Xenopus tropicalis: one gene and its partners. The protein of the gene in region 2 purifies or fractionates together with the protein of the main gene of each other region. This does not show direct contact. Links are inferred from orthologs where the notes say so. Each region holds a gene or a part of one and is shown on either strand. Other genes may lie near its edges.

Evidence for each region.
Region 1: the proteins of ap2a1 (region 2) and eps15 purify together in Homo sapiens (affinity purification with western blotting; 5 studies listed by BioGRID and IntAct, with this or other methods). This does not show direct contact. The link is inferred for Xenopus tropicalis from reciprocal best matches to the Homo sapiens genes AP2A1 and EPS15.
Region 3: the proteins of ap2a1 (region 2) and ralbp1 purify together in Homo sapiens (affinity purification with mass spectrometry; 5 studies listed by BioGRID and IntAct, with this or other methods). This does not show direct contact. The link is inferred for Xenopus tropicalis from reciprocal best matches to the Homo sapiens genes AP2A1 and RALBP1.

The regions. Positions count from the first base shown.
Region 1 is NC_030680.2:96,319,935-96,323,689, reverse strand, and holds the start of eps15 (epidermal growth factor receptor substrate 15), read left to right. Parts: upstream 1-1,038; 5' UTR 1,039-1,144; coding exon 1,145-1,171; intron 1,172-3,755. UniProt on the Homo sapiens protein: Involved in cell growth regulation. May be involved in the regulation of mitogenic signals and control of cell proliferation. Involved in the internalization of ligand-inducible receptors of the receptor tyrosine kinase (RTK) type, in particular EGFR.
Region 2 is NC_030683.2:117,150,238-117,153,892, reverse strand, and holds part of ap2a1 (AP-2 complex subunit alpha-1), read right to left. Parts: intron 3,129-3,655; coding exon 2,986-3,128; intron 2,237-2,985; coding exon 2,043-2,236; intron 1-2,042.
Region 3 is NC_030682.2:104,593,205-104,596,859, reverse strand, and holds part of ralbp1 (ralA-binding protein 1), read right to left. Parts: intron 2,383-3,655; coding exon 2,033-2,382; intron 1-2,032. UniProt on the Homo sapiens protein: Multifunctional protein that functions as a downstream effector of RALA and RALB. As a GTPase-activating protein/GAP can inactivate CDC42 and RAC1 by stimulating their GTPase activity.

The DNA of each region.
Region 1 (3,755 bases), on a different chromosome or scaffold from region 2:
GCTGTCAGTACAAGTTGATCCAGGGACTGGTCCGGAAGGAACTTTTTCCCCCTCTGCAGCAAATTAGAGAGGCTTCAGATGGGGTTTTTTGCCTTCCCCTGGATCACCTAGCAGTTAGGCAAGTTATCAGGGGCGGGCCGAGCCGACCGGGCGCCCTAGGCAACCCGGTTGGCTACGTCGCCCCTGCACCGCTACTTTGCAAACCCTCCCCGTGTGTTTTGACACGCATGCGCAGTTTGTGCGCGGGGGGCGCGGTGTGCGATTTGAAATGGCACGATGCAACCTAGGGGTAGGCAGGCGAGGCTGCTGCCTGGCACCCCCCAATCGTTGCGCCCTAGGCAGCTGCCTCTTCTGCCTACCCCTAGTTCCAGCCCTGCAAGTTATACATAGGCATTATGGTTGAATCTGATAGACGTACGTCTTTTTTCAACCTAAGTAACAATGTTCCTATTTACCTTGTGAATGTGTCAACATTTCTATTGTCCTAAACATGGTTTTTGGTTATTTCGGCCACATATTGTGGTGTGCAATGTCAGATCTGCCATTGCCCAGGTCTCTGAGGCTTTACAGTGAGGGTAAGTATCCCAGGTTTTTCTACGTCCCAAACAGGTACCTCGCAATATAACTGCCACCACACCTTGCAAGGAAAAGTATAGAAACACACCAATACTTTTTCTAAATAAAGTATATTATATTCTATAAGCGCCCCCTAACAGCCCGGCTGGAAAAAAACACATTTTGACATTTCCTTACAGTTCCCAACTTCCCAGCCGTCCCGTGACCCCATTCTCCTTACACTTCCAGCGCTCCACCTCCCACTGGTTCATCCCATTAGCACTCAGGCTCTCCCATATTTACTTGCAGCAGCTCCTTCCACTAGCTCTCACACAGTCCCCTCCTCATAGTGGCTCCACCCATTAGCTCTTACACAGTCCCCTCCTCATGGTGGCCCCACCCACTAGCTCTCACACAGTCCCCTCCTCATAGTGGCCCCACCCACTAGCCCTCACACAGTCCCCTCCTCATAGTGGCCCCACCCACTAGCTCTCACACAGTCCCCTCCTCATAGTGGCCCCACCCACTATCTCACACACTCTCCCTCCCCTCTTTCTGTGCATGATGGGCGGATCGGGTCGGAAGCAGCATGGCGGCCTCACTGCCCCGGACACAGGTAACACTTTACTCAGGGCAAAGTTGCGTTGTTCTGTGGGCAACAGTGTACCGGGGCCCACTGGGAGTGTACCGGGAGCAGTGTTTGCTGTACCCGACCAGTTCTTGTTGCGGTGACACACTCGGAGAAGGAGTTTGAAACTATCATAGCCATTCGAGTTCAGTATGACAGAGTATGTGGGCGACACTAACTTGTATGGATTTCACAATTATTGCTGAACTGCAGCTTTTACACTCTCAACACAAGCTTCAGAAAGTAGTGTATAATGAGGAAGTTGGTACGACACTTTAGCAAGTCGCTGGGTCGTATGCTATGGTTTTCGGTATACTCGGTTGGTGTGTCTGTTGTGTTGCTTTGGAAACAGAGAAAGTTGCTTTTTCATGGTATAAATGTTGCGGATACCCATGAAGATGGACGTGAGCTGCGCAATATTTAGTTTCAGTCTTTGCAGTCAGTGGGAGAAGTAGCAGATGACTGTCAGGCAGTGGGGAATCATCAGACTGATCCAGTGGGCGAACTTGTTGAGTGATACATGGGGATTCACAATTTGTCGCTTGCTACATATATGTAAGTTTTATACCCGTTTCATGACATGCAGCCCACCAGTTTACCAGTTAAACCTCTTATTGCACAATTCAGCAACATAACATGGGCGTGTATGGGAATATTTGTAAAACTACATGGAAATCAAAACCTTTTGTAAATGGGACATAATTTCTCTTTAAAGGTCTCTGACATTTCAAATAATTCACTGGGCTTCCTGGATAAAATGCATGTGAATGTCGCAGTACTTGTGGTTCTGCTTTGTGTCTATAAAGATATGACTGTGCACATTTTGGCAACAATTTTTGAGAGGAATATAGGGTGGTTGGGGTGAAGAAAAAGAATGTTAAACTTTACATGCAGGCTTAAAGCTGCTGAACTGCATACCTCCCAACATGTGAATAATCAAAAAAGGAACATAAGGACCTGCAGCAGGGAAACTTTTGTCCACAGGCACTTTGTGGCTACGCCCTCAAAATACTACGCCTATTTAACAAAACATCGCTTTTTACATGGTTGGAATGGCAGTATTGCAAGTAAAGAAGCAATAGGTGTACTAGTGTTTTATGCAGGGACATTGCAGCCCTACATCATCATTCCAGCTGGGTGCAGTCGTTTAAGCCCTTTATACAATGTGAATAATGATTTCGCAGTCTTGTTTTTCAAGACTTGAAATTTGATTTGTGAGGGACTGCACTGGACCAAAAAATGACAACTGTCCCGCAAAAAGGTATCTATCTAATAGGTAACTATTGGGATTATATTATCAAATAGTGCTCATTTATAAACACTTGGCAAATTTGCCCCAAGCAACCAGTCAGTGAGACTCCTTTATCAACACTGGGCAAATTTGACCATGGGCAGTAACCCATAGCAACCATTCAGTGATTGGCTTTATTTAGCCAGCTGCAGGTAGAACAATGGTTGCTCATGGGCAAATGTGTCTACTGTCTATATTTTTTTCAGCTAGCTGCAGGTAGAACAATGAAAGCAAGCATGTGATTGGTTGACACGCATGGGGTTACTCCCCATATGCAATTTTCCCGGTTTTTAGAAATGCCCCCACTAACTTTGTCCTGTTGCAATAACAACAATAGCAACAAATTAGCAGGTAGCATTTACTGGTCACCTTTTTACATCTTATTGCTTGCTATGGATTACAGGTATGGGATCCATTATGCAGAAATGGATCCCAGATCCATTTCTCAGATTTTTAAAATTGATTTCCTTTTTCTTTGTAATAATAAAACAGTACTAAAAATTACATTACACGGGAGCACTTACCGCAAGCCCAAGTGTGCTGTCACGCAGACCCACTCCCAAAGGTCCAAAAGCCAAGCAAAAATAGAAAGATAATAAATAGCGGAGCACCACGAGGATAAGATTAAAATCCAGTCTTTATTCCATCATAGATAAAAGGCACATGCACATCCCTCAGGGTCTAACGCTTTAAGCGTTAGACCCTGAGGGATGTGCATGTGCCTTTTATCTATGATGGAATAAAGACTGGATTTTAATCTTATCCCCCTGGTGCTCCGCTATTTATTATCTTAATAATAAAACAGTACCTTGTATTTGATCCCAACTAAGATTTAATCAATCATTATTGGATGCAAAACAATTCTATTGGGTTTATTAATGTTTTACTGATTTTTTTAGTAGACTTAAGGTATGGAGATCCAAAATACAGAAAGACCCCATTTCTGGAATACCCTTGGTCCCGGGCATTCTGGATAATGGGTCCTATACCTGTACTGGAAAAACTTAGTTGCTCTCATTACAATGGGGGTTTAAATCTTAGAATGTAATTATACACCAAGGCTGTTATAAAGATTACAACTAAATGACAAGTAAACCCCTAAACCGGGGGTGGCCAATGTGTCAATCGTGGTCCACCAGTAGATCCCCTGTGGATTTCTGGTTACAAGTGCTGCGCAAATGCGTACGTACACTGAGTCACGTACGTATGCATTCATGTCGCATTCTGCAGGACAGCGGTCCTCAACCTGTGGGTCGTGACCCCTTTGGGTGTCGAACGACC
Region 2 (3,655 bases):
TGTGTCCCTCCCGTGTCAGTACAGACTGGATCTATCAAGCCACAACCCCAAAACAATGAAATAATATTGAATAAAACCAACAGATGCTAAAAGGCCAAACATAACATTCACTAAATGGGGAAGCTGATATAACACAAAATCCCTGAAAACGAGAGGCATAAAACGCTTAAGTGCATAAGTACAAGAATGGCCCGGGGCATGATAAGCAATTGACCTCAAAAACTACAAAACCCAATCTACCAAATACAGCATAAGATGAGAATAAAGCATCACAGAGTAAAAATGTCCATTCCCTACTACAAGAGTTCCCTCACAGACCAGAGGGACTTCCACAATATGGTGCAAGAAACTGTAAAGACACAGACACCCACTCGCTGCAATAACCATAACCCTGGCACTAGCCAACTCACTAGTATCCACCAGCAGGTCACATAATCCACACAAGAAACTGGCAACAATTAGATACACCTTCCACTAGTGCTGGGGCTATGTACCCATCCCTCAGCACTAGCCTGTGGCCCTGGAAAATAAGGCTTGGCACTCACAAGCATCTAGCCCCACAGACAAACCTCCAAACCTACACAAGAACCAGAAGATCATGCCACCACAGAGCTGATGCCACACACAAGTGAAGGTGCCCTACAGTGCAAAGACACACAGCAATCAGGCCAGACACCACCCATGCCAACCACGGGTGGACAGGCCAGACACCACCCATGCCAACCACGGGTGGACAGGCCAGACACCACCCATGCCAACCACGGGTGGACAGGCCAGACACCACCCATGCCAACCACGGGTGGACAGGCCAGACACCACGCATGCCAACCACGGGTGGACAGGCCAGACACCACGCATGCCAACCACGGGTGGACAGGCCAGACACCATACATACAAAACCACAAGAGCGAAAAACAGCTAGCATACAAGCCATTGCACATAAGCTAGCACTGTGCTTGCAATCTCCGACGCACTAGTCTGTTACTGTACCTGTAAAACACATGACCCCCAACCTGCCCTTGCCAAATAGTAGTGACGTATAGGAGCCAAAAACAAGCACACAAGACGGAAGCAAAGTGCCCCAAAGAAACACATGCGCCCTCTACATAGTATTGGCTTGTCAGCAAAATTAAAACTACAGTCAGAACCCTGGAGAAAGGCTGTTTATTAGGTGCAGTTCCATTGTGAGAAAGGAAGGAGGTACCATACTGCTACACCAATGCAACCCCCAGCAAGTCCTGGATGCACCCGGTGTAATATGGAGCACAAATACCCACTTTGTCTGCACAAAGGACTTACAAATAAACACTTTAGCAATAGCAAAGAGCCCCATAAGAGTGAATGCACCATACAAGACAGCAGGGAGTATTCAGCAGGATGGTAACTCCAGCAAGAACCCTGACAGCTTCCAGCTGAGGGACATAACTAGCCAATTAGTATGCAGCCGATGTCAGTCCTCTATAGGCTTGCAGAACCATAGGAGAAGGCTACATTATCTCTCAGGAAGGAACATGGGAAGAATAACCACAACTGTATTTATTCCCAATAAGCAACAGGTTCAATTCTGTGCATAGTAGGACATACCACAGGGAGGGGGGGGTTATTTTTTTAGCACAGGGCTAGGACCATGGGTATATGATTGGCTATGTTATATGTCCTACCTCCTTGTCTGGGAGGGGTAATACTGTCCATCTGTACTGACACAGAAGGGACGCAGAAGGAAAGGAAGCAATCAGCTGTCCCTGAGGCACTCTCCAGCTCTCACCCAATACAATACAGTTTACCCAGAAGGAGCTGGCAGTCCATACCAGAGGGGTGCACATAACAGAATTTGTCATTTAGCAATTAAGGAATAAAGTAGGGCGATGGTTTGGCTATAGTGCAGATTTCTGCAGTCACCCCAATATCATGTCATCTGGTTGCATGGGCACAGAACTTAAATGGGGATCATTCACCTTACAATTAACTTGTCTGAGGTTCCCAGAGTGGAGACACTTTGAATGTCAGGTTGGACTGGTATGCCAGAATCAAATAGTCCTTACCCTGCTACCAGAATCCTTGGTATCTCAGAGGCAAACGCTTCGGCCATTTCTCTGCTCCCCACATTTGCAATGCAGTGCAGGGCCAGGCACATAAAAGTAGGGTTCCGGCTGGCCAGGTCGTTTTTAATGGCATTGTTAATGAGGCGAATGAGTTCGCTGTTGGAGTTCACAAGAACGGAGATGAAAAGGTAGCCCTAGGGAAGTAAAAAAATTTTTATTGCTAGCATTGGTAAAAGAATGAGAACAGTGGCTGCCCCACAAGAGGCTTCAGTATCTGTCAATTTCTGCTTCTATACATCACAATAATAAATTCTGCCTTGTAATGTTTTATCTGGGATTAACATTTATTTCTCATATATATAACTATGTACACTAGACCATATAGCTATTGTTTTGTTGGGCTCAGAAATCTAAAATACCTTTGAGTCATCCCAACGTGCCATACCATTGTGGGCAGCCTAGCGCTGCTGTTGTTTCCCCCAACGGGAGAGAACGCTCTATTAGCCCGCACCTCTGCTGGGGGAAGCAATTTTAGGTTGATTGGTGCCCTTTAAGAGCCTGCGGTATTGAGGCTTGCTTACAGCCACAAAAAGCTGGCATAGAAGTTTTCCTAAATTCCAAGTTAAATACAGAAGTAAGACACACCCATAGCATAAAGGTAAATATCCTGCAGTTCTCATTCTACTTTGGCAGAAATTATCTCATATAAAATTCATAATTAAAATCTCAGTCACTGTTATTACTAAAACCCATGTCTTGCTAAAAGAAGGAAAATACCCTGTATGACATTACTGTAGTAGAAGCCCCCCTGTACAAGAAAGCAAGCCTGTACATCCCCCCACCCTGTGTAATTTTGCTATTTGTGTAATTATAGGGTGGCAGAGGCAGGGTGACAGATCCAGGCGGGAGGTAGTACCTCTCATGCTGTTTTTCAGTTACTTACAATCTGTTTCTCTGTGTATTTATTGGAGCTCAGCAAGTTCACAGCTTCCATATGCCCAAAGTCGATATCATGTCCCAGCAGGAAGATAAAGAGCAGCTTACAGACGTATTTCTTCTTACTGTAGCCATCGAGCGCTTTGTCACCTATTTATAGAAAAGGCATAAGACGCTGGGAAATCAAACATCTGTGACACAAAATATATTGATATCTGAGCTCTTACACGTTCTGCCCACAGACTAATAAATGCTGGCACAATGGAGAGGCTTTTAGTTAAGCTGCCCACAAACAAAAGCTATCAGCGGCAGGGACCGGTTCCAGGAACATTGTCAGATAGACTTGTGGGATTATGGGGAGAAGAGATTTCTCTTTACATCTTCTGGGCCTAAATTGTCTCTGTAAAGCTGGCCACACACTGTAAGATCTGCTCGTTTGGTGAGGTTGCCATACAAGCAGATGTTCTCTTTAATATGCTCACCTAAAGTGGACCTAGGAACAAAATTATCAGATTACAACAACGGGAATATGAGCCTCGAAGCGAGGACCACTTCAACTAGATGTTACGGTTGACATCTGGCCAATTATCACCCAGATATAGGTCAGGTAGGCCCATGGGAGGGCCCCATACATGGGCAGATAAGGTTGGTCTGAACAGCCTGAATCGCCAGATTAA
Region 3 (3,655 bases), on a different chromosome or scaffold from region 2:
ATGTAAAGAAAAATCATGACTAGCAACATTAAAACAATGTAACTGGAGTCTGTTCTACTCTAGGCCTCTTATTCAGCAGGCTTGCAACATTGTCTGGGTGTTTATATTCTCTCACCCCTCAAACAGACACTTTTTTCAATAGCAAAATTACATTTATCCTCTATTTGTATTATTTTATGTGATTACATATATATTACACATTATGGGAAAGAGTTATCAAAACGTGAGGTTAAAGCCCACAACATAAAATTTAACCCACTCTCTATTGATTTCTAAGGGATTTTCAAAAGTGTGTTTATAAAGGGGTGAAAAGTTAGAGCTCACCATTTGATAAAGAACCCCTCTGAACATCCCACAGAAATTAATAGGAAGTGGGTGAATATTTCTGTGGTGAGCTCTAATCTCACACCTTGATAAATATTTCCCTAAGTATTTAAATGGAAGCCAAAGTTACTTTGCTATTAAAATACAACTTAAGTATAACACTATTAAGGCAAATGTATTTATATAATGCGTTGCGATTATCCGGAAACAGTACTTTATATAACAACTTAAATGTAAGTTTACGGGGAAAAAAAAAAAAACCATCCTTGGCAATCTACAAAACTGATTACTGTTGACAGTAAAATCATTTTACAACACAGAATGCTTAGATTTCCTCAACAGATACTAAATCTCTAAATGTAAATATATCAGCATTTGCCACTTTTTTTTTTCAGACAAAAGCTCATGAAACCCATCAGCTATTGTCTGTTTTCCAGAGGGATCAAGGAAGGAAGGAAGAACAGATTTAGCCTTTAGAAAATCTCCAGCATCATCTAAATATGGGCTGACTGATAGGGGCTTGAATTCAAGTTGTAGTCCTATTTTTGTTTAGTTAATAGGCCTCCATCTCACCCAATGTCTAATGTTCAACAGTCCTATATACAAGCCAACTGGCTCAGCAGAATTAATGAAAAGAGGATAATTTGTTTTTTTCAGTAAAATAAATAGTAGTTCATATATGCACAATTAGGGGGAAATGGAAAAGAATCTTTACAAATGGTCATCAGCTAAAATCAAAGAATGGCAATTGATGGAACTGAGCAGCTAAATGCTAAGTACAAACTCCACCAGAAGCTCTGTCCAGTCCCCCCCCCCCCCCCCTCTCTTAGACATAAGCTTGTTCTGTTCAACCATAGTCTGCCTCTTTTTTACAGGGACCATTTCCCAAGCCCAGGCATTGAAGAGATTCAGCTCCAACCTTACTCCATACTGAATGAAGGATTCTGGGACTTCTGGGCTACTTCAAGTCCCAGTATCCATCACTTCAGTATCAAACAAGGTGCAATGGCAATTTGTACTAAAATGCTTAATTCTACATCAAAATAAAAGCTATTTTTAACGTGAACATCCCCTTTTAAAATAATTAACCATCCATTTCTTTGTGTAGTTCACATTTAAATTAAAATTTAGTGTGTTATAGAATGGAGTATTCTTAGCACCTTTTACATTTTTGTTTTTTATTAAATTTTTTGGGGGGTTTCAGTTTTTTTTTTCTATTTTCTGAATTACTAGCTTTGCTCTGTGAGGCTGCAGTTTTATTGTTATTGATACCTTTAATTACTTTCAGTCTCCCATTCGCGCCACTGCTTAGTTACTAGAGTAAATTGGACCCCGCTATTAGATAGCTGCTATTTAGTTGCTAGGGTTCAGCAGTTGGAGAGTTGCTCAACAAAAAGCTAAATAACTCAAAATTCAATAACTAAAAAAATAAAGAGTAATTACGAACTGCCTCAAAATATCTGTCACTGTCTACATTTTAATAAAGGTGAACTCTTTCTTGAAACTATAAATTGCATTTCCCTATTCTCCAATAGCATATTGTTAGTAGTACTGTTGGTAGTACACAGCTCATTTTGCAAAATAAGAAGGAAAGTAAATTAATTGGAAGCCCACATACTGCACATTCACACAAGTAGATCACTCACTCACAGAAAACATGATTAATCCCATACACTGTGCCAAACTCTGGCAGTCGTTTCTTTTGTACCTGAACAGTAGGGCTCAGCACAATAGAAATGTTCTGTATGTTCATTTTTGTTTCAAGTTCCTTCTCTATGACATGGTCCATGTGCACTATTAGCCATGAAGTCAGGCAGAAGTTGCATTCTGGCAGTTCCTTCAATAAGCGCTGACACTCCTGCAGCCTCTCCCCTTCTGTACTTTTGCCACACGCCTCCTCAAACCGTGGCATTAGATCTTTGGTCAGCACATTTTCTGGTAGCTCCCGCAGGTATTGCTTTAATAAACTTGCCACTGTGTATGGCTCATAATCCTCCAGGTTTGGAGACTCCCCTCTGTCATAAGCTGCCTTTAGCTCATCCACCTTCGACTTTATTCCTGGGAAAGCAAAAATAATAAGCACTAAATAAGTTCATATATACACTTTATAAAAGAATATAATATATAAAAGAATATAACAAGAATGTAACAGCATTTTATACACGTGGTCCTGCCCTTATTTTATCTCCAATAAATGTATATAGTGCTGCTTGTGTCTCGGTATGGGGCATTTCATTGGATTTTTACTTCAACTCCATGCTAACTGCTGACTATACTTAAAGGGATACTGTTGCCAGAATTCAAAAGGTATACATCTTTAACTGAAAATAATGTAAAATCTTAAACCATTAGCAACACCAAACATTTAATAACCCATGTACAGTGGAGGAAATAATTATTTGACCCCTCACTGATTTTGTAAGTTTGTCCAATGACAAAGAAATGAAAAGTCTCAGAACAGTATCATTTCAATGGTAGGTTTATTTTAACAGTGGCAGATAGCACATCAAAAGGAAAATCGAAAAAATAACTTTAAATAAAAGATAGCAACTGATTTGCATTTCATTGAGTGAAATAAGTTTTTGAACCCCTACCAACCATTAAAAGTTCTGGCTCCCACAGAGTGGTTAGACACTTCTACTCAATTAGTCGACCTCATTAAGGACACCTGTCTTAACGAGTCACCTGTATAAAAGACACCTGTCCACAGAATCAATCAATCAAGCAGACTCCAAACTCTCCAACATGGGAAAGACCAAAGAGCTGTCCAAGGATGTCAGAGACAAAATTGTAGACCTGCACAAGGCTGGAATGGGCTACAAAACCATTAGCAAGAAGCTGGGAGAGAAGGTGACAACTGTTGGTGCGATTGTTCGAAAATGGAAGGAGCACAAAATGACCATCAATCGACCTCGCTCTGGGGCTCCACGCAAGATCTCACCTCGTGGGGTGTCAATGATTCTGAGATTGGTGAAAAAGCATCCAAGAACTACACGGGAGGAGTTAGTTAATGACCTCAAATTAGCAGGGACCACAGTCACCAAGAAAACCATTGGAAACACATTACACCGCAATGGATTAAAATCCTGCAGGGCTCGCAAGGTCCCCCTGCTCAAGAAGGCACATGTGCAGGCCCGTCTGAAGTTTGCCAATGAACACCTGAATGATTTTGTGAGTGACTGTGTTTGGAGGAAGAAAAATGCTGCCTATGACCCCCAAAACACCGTCCCCACAGTCAAGCATGGGGGTGGAAACATTTTGCTTTGGGGGTGTTTTTCTGCTAAGGGCACAGGACAACTTATTCGCATTAACGGGAAAATGGACGGAGCCA